Linked DNA regions of Coturnix japonica. The protein of the gene in region 1 purifies or fractionates together with the protein of each later gene. This does not show direct contact. Links are inferred from orthologs where the notes say so. Each region holds a gene or a part of one and is shown on either strand. Other genes may lie near its edges.

Region 1 (7,511 bases):
TGCGTGCTCTGTGGAACTGGGGTTCAGGCTCCACCTCAGCCCTGTCCGAAGGGTGATAGAGATGGTCACGGTCCTGCTCTGGCCCCACCTGGACCCGAGCAGGGTCTGGAAGGAACAGAGGCCGTGAAGCAGTGTCCTTGGCAAGCCTGGCTTTCTCCACTGCCTGTGGAGCCTGGATGCTGTAAGAGAAGCAGAGGTGGCCTGTAGGGCAGCAGGTCATGGAGGCTGGCCCCATGTTATCAGTGCCTGTTGAGAGCCGAGTGGGTCCATTTGGATTTAAAACATGGATTAGTGGGCTCTTGTCTCGCGAGTGGCATAGGCACCATGGCAGCACTGCTGCAAGGGAAGCAAGAGCAGCTTTGAAACAAAGCGAAGCAAAACCAGGGCCACACATCTCGGAGGGTTTGACTCGAGGAGAAATGCCTGAGCAGGGAGCCCATTAACTGTTAGGAATTCAAAGCAGCAAGGATGATACAAAGCACCAAATCATAGAATCATAGAATTGCTGGGGTTGAAAAGGACCACAATGATCATTTAGTTTCAGCCCCCCTGATATGTGCAGGATTGCCAGCCAGTACATCAGGCTGCCCACTGATGTTTGCCCACTGCTTTCCCCAGCCCAATCTCAGTCACAATGCAGCACCCAGCAGTGAATGCAGTGTGGCTGTAGCCCCTCTTACGTCTCCTTAGCCAGACTCTGCTCCACGTCCACGTCCTGTCTGAGACCGCCAAGAGCCTGCAGCAGAGAAGGGCGAGGTGAGAGCCAGCCCTATGCCTGGCCCCGGGCCACAGGGAGCTGTGGTCTCACCTGGTTGCCTCCGGGGGCAAGCAGCAGGAGAGCTGCACCCAGCAGCATGGTCACACTGCAAGGACCCATGGTGCTTCTGCCTGTGCAACAGCCTTGCACTGCACTTTGCCCGTGCTGTGTGGTTGCATGGGGGAGTGGTGTGGGTCATGTGGGTGCGCCCCATCATGCACATGGCACATACACCCTGCAGTGCACTGCAGCAATTGAGTTAGAAGCTGCTGAGGGCTGTAAGTTCACAAACTTAGTCCTCAACACCAGGGAAGTTAAATAGGTCAGCTGAAATAAACAGTGAAAGGACTTTTCAAGGCCTTTTTTAGCCTTTGTTCCTCCTGGTGAGGATGGGGACGAAGCAATTACAAACCTTCAGCTTCTTGGATAAATGCCATACCAACAGCCTCCTGTGATTCCATTGTTTTACTTTATGGACCATTTGTTGAATGTCACAGTTGTAAGGGGACCACAGGGACAGGGAGCTGTGAGTTCTGTGCTTTGCTTTGCACCACCCCTCTTTTCTCCTTTTCACATCCCATTACATTGCAGGCAATGACAAACACTCCTGCTTGGATGCAGTGACTGATAACAATTGCTGGTGCCTTCTGGTCTTGCGCAAGTCTGCTGTGCTGACATTTAGACCTTCTTACGTGGGCCTTTAAATCCTCGGGTAGCGCCCTGTCCAAAGCAGATTGTGGATGGGATCCTGGAACAGAGACACCAGTTAACATGCATTTGTGAGATCTTTGCCCTCTGTTATCAGCAGAAGTCCTGCTGATAGTCAACTAGCAGCACCGGTCATGCTTTAAAAGAACAAGCTGACTTAGCCCAGGAATGCAAGGCAATGGTGTTGGAGGTAAAACAGTAATCTTTTGGGGAACATGATACAAATACAAACTGGACTAATCTCTCCAAGATACAAGCTGCAAGTGCAAAGGTGTGGCCCCATGGGCAAATAGAGGGGCAGGTTTCTGTTGGATGGACCACGCTGGCATCTCAAACTCAAAGTACAAGCATCCCTTTGCCAACTGGGATAGTTCAAGAAAGAACATGACGTTCTTAGAGGCCATTAAAGTGATCAATAAATGATTCAGGTGCTGCCTCAGTGACCTTTTGATCAGAAACTTTTGCCTGTGCAGGCATTTGGCTCAGACCTGGATTTATAGAGGCGTTTCTCTGGTACTGAAGGGCTGGCTGCAGGCTCTGTGCTCTCCATGGGTACTTCCATATGGTCCGTCTCGAGCTGCTCCGAGGTCTCCATGCTGACATCCATCAGCATGCTCCCATCATCTGTGGGACAGCTCACATGCTTGGTACCACTGCAGAAAGAAAACGTGACATCCATTCTCAGCAGCTGAAACGCGAGCAAGGAGCAAAGAAAATGAAAGGGATTTTAGAGGACTCTAGAAAGGAATGGGACAGCAGAGAAGCACATCACTTGAGCATGGAAAAAGCAGCTGTGCTGCTGCCATTCTGCAGTTACCTCTTCACTTTCTTTGGTCTATCAAATCGGAAGTCAGCAGGGTATAAGTGAGCAGTGACCAAGTGATCCTTCCTGTCTTTGCTGCACTTGAACTTCTCTGCACAGCCTTCTACCAAGCACTTGTACTGAAAGAAAGGAAAGAAAACACCCCCTGGGAAGGGTGAACAGCCAGTCCGTGTGGCAGCAGGGGCCGGGCCATGCCCTCACCATATTCTGCTTCTCAGCCATGATCTGGAAGAGCGAGTCGTGCCACTCGGAGATGTGGATGTCCAGAAGGTGCCCTGAAGGGAACGACCGCCTGCAGAAGGAGCAGACGTTGCGGTGCAGCACGTTGTAATGGTGCTCGTAGCCCTCAAGTGTATCGAACACCTGGGAGCAACCGGAGATGTGACAGCAGAACTCAGACACCCTGTAAGGGAAGGACAGCACATTAGTGCATCCTCAGCGTGTAGTATATTATACGTTTAAGCCTTATTACAAGGCTCTGCCCCAGATGCTCGGGTCCCTGTGAGCTCGCAGGGGGCCCAGCAGCTCCGTGTGCAGGGCAGGGTCTCAGTGGGGGCTCATCTCTTGTCCCATGCAGCTCACCTGGGCCTCTCCGCCTCCTCGGCGCGGCCCGTGAGCGCCTCCCGCAGGTACAGGTGTCTGTGCACGTCTCCATCCTGCAGCGGGGGGACATGGCAGTCATGGAGCAGCCTGGCCAACGGGCCGCCCGCCCCGCTTGGCTCGGCCTCACCTCGAGCAGGGGGTGCTGCGGGTCCAGGCGCAGGCGGCGCGGGCAGAAGGCGAAGGGAGCCCGCGGCGGGGCCGAGGCGGGCGGCGGGGCGGGGGGCAGCGGCGGGCGGTCCCGCAGGCGGCGGCGGAGAACGGAGAGCAGCATCGGACCGGACCGGGCCGCGCAGGCGCCCGTAGCACTTCCTGCGGCAACGGCGGCGGCTTCCGGGCGGGTAGGAGGGATGGAGCGGGATGGGGACGGAGAGGAGCCGCGGGACGGCGGGGTGTGGGGCGGCTGGATTCGTTCTGTGCGTCTGCTCTGGGTTCTGTGTGCGGGGAGCCGCTTAGAACCAGCCCGGTGTCGTCGTTTGTAACGCTGTGGTTCCGATCCGGACAGCAGGCCGCGCTGAATGCAGCCGGTCGGGTCGGCGCTCCACACTGAGGCCTCCCATAGTGTCTGGAAGGCAAAGAAGAGCTGCTGCCCACGCTTAGGCCTGGTCTGTAGCAGGGCAGTAGCGTGCAGGGTGAGGGGCTTGTCTTACAACTCCCATAAGTTTCTTTGTGCCCATCCAGCACACCCTATGGGCTTATAGTGCAGCGTTATTCTTGTGCTTACACCAAAGCACTAACGTAGCTCACTGCCTTTCTTCCTGTATCCAATGTTAGGTTGGATTTCATTCGCGCCATGAGTGAGTTCCGCATCCACCACGATGTCAACGAGCTGCTCAGCCTGCTGCGTGTGCACGGGGGTGAGGGGGCCGAGGTGTACATCGACCTGCTGCAGAAGAACCGCACGCCCTACGTCACCACCTCCGTGTCTGCTCACAGTGCTAAGGTGGGCCAGAGTAATGGCATTGCATTGGTCCCTCGCGGAGTTATCCATCCATCAGCTGAACATGAGCCAGCGTAGGTGACCATGAAGGCCGGTGGCATCCTGACTTGTATCAGAAACAGTGTAGTGGGCAGGATCAGGGAGGTAACTGTCCCTCTGTAGTTGACACTGAGGCTGCACCTTAATGCTGTGTTCAGTTTTGGAACCTTCACTACAAGAAAAACATGGACGCCCTGTAGTGTAAGGCAACAGTGCTGTGAGGGGTCTGGAGCACAAGTCTTGTGGAAGCAGCTGAGGGATATGAGATTATTTAGCCTCAAGGAGGCTCAGGGGAGACTTTACTGCTCTATAGCTCCCTGAAAGGAGGTTCTGGGAAGGTAGGTGTTGGTTTCTGCACCCAGATAACAGCAAAAGGTTGAGGTAATGGCTTTAAGTTGTGACAGGGGAAGTTCAGGTTGGGTATTAAGAAGAACTCAGAAGGAGTGATACATTCCAAATCAGTCCATCTTAATTATCAGTGCGAGGCCAGTGCCGCATTGTTCAGTCCAAGACCTATTCCCTGAAGCACTTTGCTGGCAGCAGTGGCCTGCACCTTGTTTCCCTCCTTGCACAATGCTCTGCTCTGGAATGCTGGAATGATAATCTACCTTAAACATTAAATATTCCTGTGGTCTTTTACAGGTAAAAATAGCAGAGTTTTCTAGAACTCCTGAAGACTTTTTAAAGAAATACGATGAACTGAAGTCTAAGAATACAAGACATTTAGATTCTTTGGTGTACCTGCTCTCAAAGCTCACAGAAGACAAAGAGGTTTGTTTCTGTGTTAGAACTGAGCATGTTATAACTCCTTGGTAGTAGCAACAATGCAGTGGTTTTAAATATGCACGCTGTCAGATTATAATATTCATTGGAATACAGCTTTGCTGCAGTGTGTGCTGACCAGTGCTCACAAAATTTCTTTTGTGTGTATACAGACACTCCAGTATTTGCAACAAAATGCTAAAGAAAGGGCGGAACTCACAGCAAACGTGGCAGCTGGTGGCAGCACAAATTTCTCCATCCCCTCATCTACTTCCAAGATTTCTCTGCAGGAACTTGAGGAGCTGCGCAAGCAGCTTGGCACCGTCACAGCCAACTCCAGCGCACAGCAGGTACTGCCCCTCACCTTACATGTGAGATCTTTCCCAGCTGTTGGTATGTAGCTGTGCTCTTAACTTTTGACATCTAGGGGAACTGCAGATATTACTATCCATCTAAATCTGCTCTCAGAATGGTGCTAGTCAAATTATATTAAATCATTGTGCTGTTATTCCAAAAAGTGGCCTTTTTATTGAAGTCAGGTAAGGTCAGGCGAGTTTAGGCCACAGCAGTTCTCACTGGGGCATAGTGACCTTCAATGAGAAGAAAATAAAATGACCCTCTGCAGATCCCATTTCACATACATGTGGAGCTTAAGAAATGGCTTTCATAAGCATGTCCCCTTTTGGCAGCTATGGAAAGCATGGCGCTTTTGGCAATTATGTAGGTTATACATCACCTCTCCAGCTGAAAATTAGTCTTTCACCATAATTATTTTACTGACAGAGATCCAGAGCCATGAGTGGAGACTGTTATGGTCTTGTAAAAGCTCACTTCCTTCACAATCAGAGCAAAACCACTGTCATTTTCCACTGGTGTATTATCTTGATGGCATTTCATGTGCAGCTACTCCACGGGCAGTGTGCTGAAACTGATTTCAGAGGTGGTCATTAGCCTGTTTGCAAGTGCTCCTTGGATAAGATGTTGCTGCTTTCTTCTTCTGGAATTAATTTGTTGGCTTTTACATGGTGGAGTTTGCAAACTAATAAGGTGACTGGAGCTTGTAAGCGTCCCGGTTTTGCTCCTGTGTGTATGCCACAGCACCAAGGCTGGTGGGAGGGGTATGACAAGGCATTATGTGATGCATCTGCCAATAAGAAGATGGCCAACTATATAAAATTCACCTCTGCAGCACTGAGACCAGTAGCCTGAATGAAACCAAGAGAGTACACCTACACTTGTTCTACTGAAATATCAATTATTCCACTTTCTATTCTCAAATTATCGGTTTACAGTCAGTTTCTCCTTCTTCATTCTTCTCTCTTTTTCTTTTTTTTCTCAACAGCCCCTTGAGCTTACACGAAAAATGCTCCGAGATAAGCAAAACAAGAAGAATTCAGGCCAGCCTGTTCCAGTTCTTCCATCCTGGGTGTATGAGAGGCCTGCGCTTATTGGTGATTTTTTAATAGGCACTGCTCTAAGCACTGACGTAACGGTACCTATAGGTATGTGATACACAGTGAAAATGATGTTAACGTGATACGTTTTGTACTTGTTCAGAAGCTCCATTCAGATTCTGTCAGAACTAGGATGAAAGCAAAAGTTGCCTCCTTGAAATCTTCCCTAAGAAGGTAGATGCACCTGCAGGAATCCTGTAGCTTCCTCCTGCCATGGATTTGTGCCTGGTCTAAGGGACACATGAAAACAGTGATCACAAGTAGTTTCATTCTTGAGTGTTTCCTCGTTGTCAAATGGTTTGTGAAGCTGCATGGGGATTTTAAGCATGTTGGCAAGACTGGAACTCAGATCCAGGGTAACTGAGCCTATTTGGGTGGAAGAGCAAACAGTGCAAGTGATGTTCTCTTGGCCATGGTTGATGGATGCTTATCTCTGTCCTCTTGATTTACTTTGGGTTTAAATGATGAGCAAAGGCTTCTGTTTTCCTGGACAGCAAGGTTTAAGATTTTGGATTTGACTGTAACTCAGTTTTATTTCCCTGTATCTTGGTTCAGCTTTGTATAATCTTCCCTTGTTCTCTTTGAGTGGTAGTATGTCATCCTTTTAGGCTTCATCATGAATGGAAGATCTGGACGTACTGCAGCATGTTCTGGTTATGTTCTTTTCTGTTGTCTCTTTGAAAACAGGTACTCTGCCATTAGCATCCCAAGAATCCATGATTGTGGAGGACTTGCTGTATGTTTTGATTGGTGTGGATGGAAGATACATCACAGCACAGCCTCTTGTTGGCAGGCAGAACCGAACATTTTTAGTCGATCCAAATTTGGACTTGTCCATCAAAGAGCTGGTGACCAGGATTCTTCCTGTAGCAGCAAGTTACTCTGCTGTCACCAGGTACAGAGCTGTCATTTCCTCCCAGTGGGGGATATTTTCCTTCAAGCATCAAGCTGCAGAACATGGAATCTGTCATTTTGCAGATGATGATGTCCAAGCTAGATTTAAACCTGTAGGGATATAAAATAAAGAGTAGTTATTTATTTGAAATGGCTTTGGCTACGTATGTTTGTGCTGGCATTTTCCTTCACCTTTCCTTTGCTTTGTCCAACTGAGTTGGTACAGGCAAAGTTAAAATGTCTGCTTACTGTGGCTTGTCTAAAGCATTTTCAGGAAGTGATTTGTCCAGCATCTTTTGCCTGCCTTGAAAATACTGGCACTTGCTTTTTTTACAGTGGATTTGCAAGTAATTATAGATCCCCTTCAACTCAAGAGGAAATGCTTTTGCACAGCTTTTTATACTAAGTGTGGCGGTGAGAAGTAGGCAGGGGCCAGAGAGCAGTTGAATGTAAAACTTAGCTGAAAACTGATAAGTTTTCCAATACAGTGTCTACTCTTGTGCTTCTGTAGTGTCCTGAAATTAAAATTCCTGG
Region 2 (7,438 bases), on another chromosome or scaffold:
ACTGCACTAAAGCTATGACTTAGAAACATTCTTAATTTCATTTTATCAATATCAAGCAGTAGCCAGCTTGCCATTTACCTAGTATGGAATCATAGAATCACGAAGGCTGGAAAAGACCTACAAGAACATCCAGACCAACCGCCCACTTATCACCAATAGATCTTACTAAACCCTGACACTGCACCTAAACATTGCTTGAACATCACCAGGGTTGGTGACTCCACCACCTCTCTGTGCAGCCTCAAGCCAGCTCCTTACCTAGCATAGAGTGTATGCTGTATCAGTGTTCAGCTATTTCAGTTCCTGGAAAGTTGTGCCTTATTTTTATGACTTTGTTTCTCATATCAGCTATATTTGCTTTGTTGGATTCAATTCAGAGAGGTAGCCATTGGATTTCTTACCATGCTTATGGATAAACGCATCACAATTATCTCTCTCCTCAACTTCTCTTTGAGAAACTGCATAGACTAAGTTCTTCAAGACCTCACAAGACTAGATTTCCAGTCTTGAAATGATGTTATGGCTTTCGCAAAAATTATTTTTCTGTCATGACAACTCTCTGGATATATAACTCTGAGTCTGGAAGTGAACACTATGTTTTTTTTTCTTCATAATGTCTGTAAAATAAATCCATTTACTAAAAAATAAGTAACTCTCCCTAGGAAACGCTTTCATTGGAGCAACTACTGATGTTCTTCCAAAAAATCCTTCTCAATTTACCATTTTTTGAAAACTAAGCATTTGTTCTTTTATATTTTTAATGACATTTTTATTTCATATCCAACAGGACAGCAAAAGAGGTAACAACCCAATGCATTTCTGTTTTTATTGAATTACGCCAACAACTTTAATACAAAACTGTCCTTCATAAATTCAAACATACCTTACCTCCATTTCACACAGACACCTGTAAGTAATAATGAACAGTAATTAAAGAACCCACCTATGTTCCCATGAAACTCATGACTGTGCTTAAGCTCTCACAGCTATGCTACATATAGCACTTAGAACAGTAAAACCACAGGAAAACTGTGAGATACTCCAAAAATATGACACTGATTAGGAAATAAAATGGCAGACAAAGCTCAGTATAGATAAAAAAAAAGGGGTACACATGGATCCTAGGAAGGGAATTAAAAGAGTGAATAGGCCAGTCTGCATATCTAAAGGTTCCCTTCTCAAAAAAGGAGACAGAAAAGTTTCAAATGCAGAAGTTATTCCACACCTCTGAGCAGCCAAAGAATATTTAAATTAACATATTTCAGCATTAGTTACAGTAGAACCAAGAGGAAATTTAAATGTAAATTTTATACCTGCAGAATCATGACTGGCACAACCACCATACTTAAAATGTCTACTGCATAGGAACATAAGGATAGTAAAAATCAGGTTCAAAATAAACAAATGGCAACAGTTCCCTGTGTCACAGACATCATTTGATACAAGCTGTTTTTATTCAAGAAGCATATACAGTCATAGGGAAACTTGACAAGTACTGGAAAAAACAGCATTAGAGATTGCTAATAGACAAACCATATGATGTCCAGGAAAGCCTGGAATAGAAGACATTTGGAAGCTAGAATACAGAAGGAAAAGAACCAAACATGCTTGCATTGTTCTTATTCTTCCTCAGGCATCTGCTTTTGACTATAGAAGAAAAGCTATTGTGTTAAAAAAAACCTTTAGCTGGAACCAGTATAGCTATTCTTGTTTTCAAGACTTCAAGGTGTTTGACTCCCTACATTTAAGTTAAACATTACCACTTGCTCTATGTGATAAGAAAAGTATTATATACAATTTTATATCTGTCAAATTAAGTTTTGAATGTCTAAAACATGCCCTGATTCTATAATTCTGCTTGAGACATAGTGTCCTGGAAAAAGGCTTAAGTGCGTAAAAACCAAGTTCATCAATGCTAAAATGGCAAGCACAACTTACCTAGGCAGCACTGCACTCATATTGCATTTGCAAGCTGATTATAAACATTTCAGGGACATAAAATCAACACTGAAACCACAATAAATGTAACAGAAGTTAGAAACATTTGTGTATTTTCAGCAGTAAAGTGATGAATAGGAGTGGCAAGGGAAGCCATCAGAATTACTATATTACCTAAACATCTGGGAACTGAAAAATACACTGCCAATGCACAAGCACTCTAATTTCAGAAGCATTGAGGATACATTTGCTGTTTAAATTTTAGTTCCGCAATTCTCTTCAGAAACAAATGACAACCTGTCAACACTGCAAGAATACTTTTCTGGTTTTGACATGCAGCACTGAGTCCAGTTAAACGTGAAATAACCAACTGCTTATTTGTTTTAAGTATTTTAACATTTTCAGTCTTTGCTGATTTCTCACATTTTTCTAGGATACATTTATTGTCAATCTTTCCATACAGTAGATTCTTTAATACTTTTGAAAACATTACACACAGTATTCAGAAGTTTTAACACAGATTCTACACCTTTCTGGAGTGATTTCTTGGCCAGAGTAATAGGAAATAAAAGATATTTATCATGTTTTCTAAAGCTGTGACCCAGATAGAGTAATGTGTGATGTAAACTCAAAAGAACTTTTCCGTCCGCACAAAAGATGAACCTTGAATCTTTATTACGTGTGCTTCCCCTGTCAGCCTGCTTTGGGTTCTATTAACACCACTACTTAGAAAACAGTCTAACAAAAAATTGGAAAAGCTAAAACAGCAGCAGAGGACAAACACAAGAAAATTTTCTTCCTATGAAGAAGCATAACTCCTGGATGCAAAAGATTCACTGAATGATAATTTGTTCAGTAGCTTAATGCATACACTAGAAAGATTTGTTTTTGCATCAGTGGATATTGTTTGTGCTGAAGGAGAAGACTCCCCTACACCAAGTGACTGTTTAACACAACTAAATCAGCCCCTACTTGTAAGATGCTTTGACTAGTAATTAACAATATATGCTTAATATTTTCAGGTTGAGTGTTCAGAACATACGCAAACAGCATTTGATATTCCACGTTATCTACATGTCAAATTTACATACATCCAAATTCCTTTCTAAAACAAGTTAAAAACTCTTTTTCCAACAGAATTAGAAGGACAAGTCATTATCTTGATAATCAAAAGTGCTTTATTTCTTACTTTCAGAACATGACTTAAGTCATTTAAGTCATCATCTGTACTCTAATTAAAATCAGCTCAATAGGGACTTCTTTCCTACCTTTACCACAGATAAAAGCATCCACATATTTTCACACTAGTACAACAGGAATAAACAGAACACAATAGCACTTCTAAAGAATGCGTTAACAAGCCATATTCGTGATAACATTCACTGTTACACACTAGTAATTTCAGCAAACCTTCAATCTCTGACACTGTTTAAAAATCCTACATGCTGAAGGGCAGTTACACTAAAATTCACCCCTGGTTCATAAAAATAACCAAGTATTCAAGTGTGGTAAGATTACTGGTGGGCCTATTTAAGAAAACCCAACTTTAAGCTCTTCCATACATTGCCTTTTTCAAGATGACTTAGAGATACTCTGAAACCTCCAGATATAATTTGACTTCGTATTTCTAAGTAGCAGCCAATGTTCAAATTCTTTATCAGCTCTACAACTTCGAACTCTTCTCATGAAGAAGGATTCTATCACATCAGCTTGTCATATTTTCAGCAGCCTAGGGAAAAAAAAAAATTTGTCACCAAAAGCAGACATCATTTATGTTGTAGATTTGAAGCCCAGATATGAGATAAAAAGAGAAATGAAAGCAACACAAGTAAGACATAAAAAATAGAAAAGAAATAGAACATCCCTCAACAATGTATATGCACAATTAAGCTTGTGTACACACATTTAAGCACATACACAAATAAAAAATACACACAAGTATAGAAGAGTTTGAAATTATAAAAAAATAAAATAAAAATTTAAATTATGCAAAAAAAAAGTCTGATTGTAAAATCTGAAAGCTGAGTTCTTTAAGAATCAGAACATAGCCTTCAAAAACAGATAAATAAACAACATAAGATGTAGTGGAGAAGGAATCATGATGGTTAGGTAGACAGCAAAGCATCAAAATCCTTTAAAGGGCAAATGAGAATTTTTTAACTATAGTTATTTTCCCTATTAACCAAATAGTTACATGTGGCTTTTTATACTTTAGTACTTACAATGCACACACACCATGAAATGCTGTGATTTGTCTTTGGAGAGACGTAAAGCACAGGTTAATGAGGTGACAGCAATGTGTGGAGACTGTTAGCCACAACAGCTTCATGAACTTGTTCACAAGTGTTGCTACAGAAAGGGTAGTCAGGCATTGGAATGCACTGCCAGGGAGGTGGTGGAGTCACCAACCATGGGAGTGTTCAAGAAACATTTGGATGTTGTGTTGATGAATATGATTTAGCTGGGAAGTATTGGTAATGGTTGGACTGGATGATCTTCTAGGTCTTTTTCCAACCTTGATAATTCTGTGATACATACTATGAGGCCTGAGGGTGTATAAGGAGCTGATATGGGCTGAAGAAGAAAGCTACAGTCCAGTCAGGACATGAAGCAGATAAAGGGAAATAGTGGCTGAAAGCACCAAGAAGAGAAATCTGTTTTGTTGATTTTTTTCTTAATTTTAAAGGAAAAGAAGCACAGCAAATTGAACCAAAGATTTGATTCTTTTAAAACCGTGTGCTTTTTAGGGAATGGCATTACCTTTAGAGCTTCTGTAGCCTTACGCAGTTCTTTAATGACAGAAGACAGTGCTTCTGGGTTGATGCCTTGCTCACAAAGCCGCACACAAATAGACAAGGTCTCCATATCCAACCCAGTATTTAATATTCTTGAAATCTCAAACAGAACTGCAAGGAAAAAGAAAGCAAATTAGCCCCAACAGCGATCAAAGAAGTTATTAATCAAAGCTGAATTTCTACTGTACAGCATGGAAGTGGCAGTTATGGAACCTCAAGCAAACCAATGTATCTACAAACAAGTGCCGCATCCCCAACCCCACTGGCCCCTCCCGCCCCTCCCTCGTACCGTCCATCGTCTCCCTCACGGCGTTGAGGCTGGCGGCATTGCTCGCCATGGCGACCGCCCACCCGGAAGCAGAAGGAGCGACCCCAACCTCACGTGATTCCGGGACTCCGCACCAGGCCCAAGCGGAACCTCCCGCTCACAGCAGGAAGGTGGGGGGCGGGCTAACGTTCGAATTTGTGCAGCGGCTCTGCATGCGATTGGCCCGTTCGTGAGCGGAGGGGAGCCTACGATTGGTTCGCCGGCGGCTGCGGCGCGCGTTGATTGGGCAGAATTCGGGAAGGGGCGGGAGGTGGTTAAAGAGCCGCCCGGCTCGGCGGAGGCGGGCAGTTTTAATTGGAGTCGGGTATGAGTGCGCGTCGCGGCAGCGGGGCTTCGGTAGCTGGGCCTGAGGAGTGGGGGGGTGGTGGCGTGGTGGCGGCCCTTGGTACAGCTGTCCCGTGAATACGTGGCTTTAGGCCTCTGCTGCTCGCTGTGTGCGTTCCTCGGCCTGTGAGGAGCGGGGAGCCGCCTCGCTGTGGGGCTGACAACTCCTCTGAGGCCCCGCCGTTCGGTACGGGAGCACCTGGCACGAACGCGATTGGTTTCCTCCATGCTGGTTTCCAGTACCTCGTTTCCTTTGGCTTTGCTTTCTAGGCTCCGTCTTTGTACCAGCCTCGTTTATCTGCTTCTCACTGGTCCAAGCCAAAATCTGCTTTGCCGTTATGAGTTTTCTGTCTCTTCTGAATGACCGGTCATGGGTTGAAATTCTTAGAATGACCCTAACGAGTCAGAATGGTAATTTCCTCCCCTCACATTTCCTTCTGTTTCTCTTCCCCAGGCACAGCTTCACTGCTATGGGCGATACAGAAGAAGCCCAAATGCAGATCAGCCCCGAAACTCCTGGGCGGGTCACAGTTCTGAATCCTTTCGAAAGCCCCAGCGATTATTGCACCCTTCAGGAGCAGATTGTCTCCAGTCCTTCCGTCTTCAAATCAACAAAATCTTCATCTGTAAGAGCTCATTTTCTGTTCTATGTAGTGCCGACACATAAAAACACGTAACACAGTGTATTTACTTGATTTAATGTATGCAAACCCAAAGAACTTGGGGTGTTTTGTGGTTCTTTCATTTACCTCAGTAAGCTTCTTTTAATGCTAACGCTGTAATTTGGTCTTCGCACCTTGATAATGAGATTAAAAAGACAGTGTTTTGTTAGATCGTTTTTCTAAGTGCTACTTGCTCACTATTTTGTACTGAAGTGCTACTTCAATGGATGAGACTGCTTTGTTCCCAAACTGGATCTTATGATCTATGCCTGACAGTGCCCTTTGTGGCCTGCTTCTAGACTGTCCTCTGTCTCCTTTGAAATGTAAAGTAAAAGGAAGGTTGCTGTATTATTTCGATATCCTGGCTTGGATGATTATTGAAGTGCTTTCAGGGAGCCACAGTTTTCATTGTGGCCATGGAGAAGCAACTAAACTTAATCCCATGTTTCAGATCTGTAGTAGGCCTGTTCTCAGAAATGGAGGGGGAATAACATGACACTTCAGTTATTAATTGTTTGTAGTACTCTTTTGCTTAATATTATCTCATAATTAATTTTAATTCCACCATCAAGACAAAAAAAAAAGTCTGAATTAGTTGCCTTTTTTAAAAAAACATTATCAGACCAGCAAGTATTCACGTGACTATTTCTTTTTTTTTCAGACACCAGGAAAATTTAGGTGGTCTATTGATCAGCTTGCTCTAATAAATCCTGTGGAAATTGACTCAGAAGATATCCGACGCCAAGCAATGTATTTGAGTCACGCTAGGTAACTTACCATCTGTCTTTATGCTGTTGATTTAGCTTGAATAGCAGAACACTGTTCATTTGCTTTAGTGACATTTCTTACATTGTTAAAGAACCTTCATTCAGGTTTTTCAACATACATTTTCTTATTCCTGATGTGAATATAGTATTTAGATGAAGCCACTTCTGGTTGCTGTTTTTTCATTTTAAGAACTGCAGATCTCTCTGATTGCAGTTTGGAGGGCAGCCAGACACAGCAGTCAGCAGAAGCAAGAAAAATGCCTTGCCAATAACTGTTATCTGGCTGTATCTCCTTCTTCTTGTCACAGTACTATTTATCTTCTTGGAGTGTACAGTATTGGGACTTGCGAAGCATAAGTATCTTTGGGATGCCTGCAGAAGGATAGAGCTGGCAAAGGCAGTACTATTTGAAAGGTACAGACTGGAATTAACATAAGGGAGGAAAGGCCAATAATCTTGCTCTTTTTGAGAAGACTACTAGTTACTTAGAATAATTTGAGGGTCTTTATCTTAACTTTCCTTTCTTTGAGTCTTTCTATGGGTACAGCAAATGACTGAAGTAAAACAGGCTTGGTAGTAGTCATGGATCTTATTGAGGGAGGGTATTTGACACTAATGCACCTT

Evidence for each region.
Region 2: the proteins of TUBGCP2 (region 1) and MZT1 purify together in Homo sapiens (affinity purification with mass spectrometry; 4 studies listed by BioGRID and IntAct, counting the BioPlex papers as one, with this or other methods). This does not show direct contact. The link is inferred for Coturnix japonica from reciprocal best matches to the Homo sapiens genes TUBGCP2 and MZT1.

What each region holds. Positions count from the first base shown.
Region 1 is NC_029521.1:5,964,379-5,971,889, forward strand, and holds the start of TUBGCP2 (gamma-tubulin complex component 2), read left to right. Parts: upstream 1-3,162; 5' UTR 3,163-3,229; intron 3,230-3,235; exon of another isoform or gene 3,236-3,520; intron 3,521-3,662; 5' UTR 3,663-3,681; coding exon 3,682-3,831; intron 3,832-4,509; coding exon 4,510-4,638; intron 4,639-4,802; coding exon 4,803-4,979; intron 4,980-5,971; coding exon 5,972-6,131; intron 6,132-6,770; coding exon 6,771-6,978; intron 6,979-7,511. Other genes in the region: ZNF511 (zinc finger protein 511), read right to left, coding at 1,436-1,505, 1,954-2,118, 2,283-2,407, 2,490-2,691, 2,871-2,944, 3,019-3,162. UniProt on the Homo sapiens protein: Component of the gamma-tubulin ring complex (gTuRC) which mediates microtubule nucleation.
Region 2 is NC_029516.1:140,207,926-140,215,363, reverse strand, and holds MZT1 (mitotic-spindle organizing protein 1), read right to left. Parts: upstream 5,173-7,438; 5' UTR 5,072-5,172; coding exon 5,023-5,071; intron 4,845-5,022; coding exon 4,699-4,844; intron 3,668-4,698; coding exon 3,644-3,667; 3' UTR 1,433-3,643; downstream 1-1,432. Other genes in the region: BORA (protein aurora borealis), read left to right, coding at 5,856-6,011, 6,709-6,815. UniProt on the Homo sapiens protein: Required for the recruitment and the assembly of the gamma-tubulin ring complex (gTuRC) at the centrosome.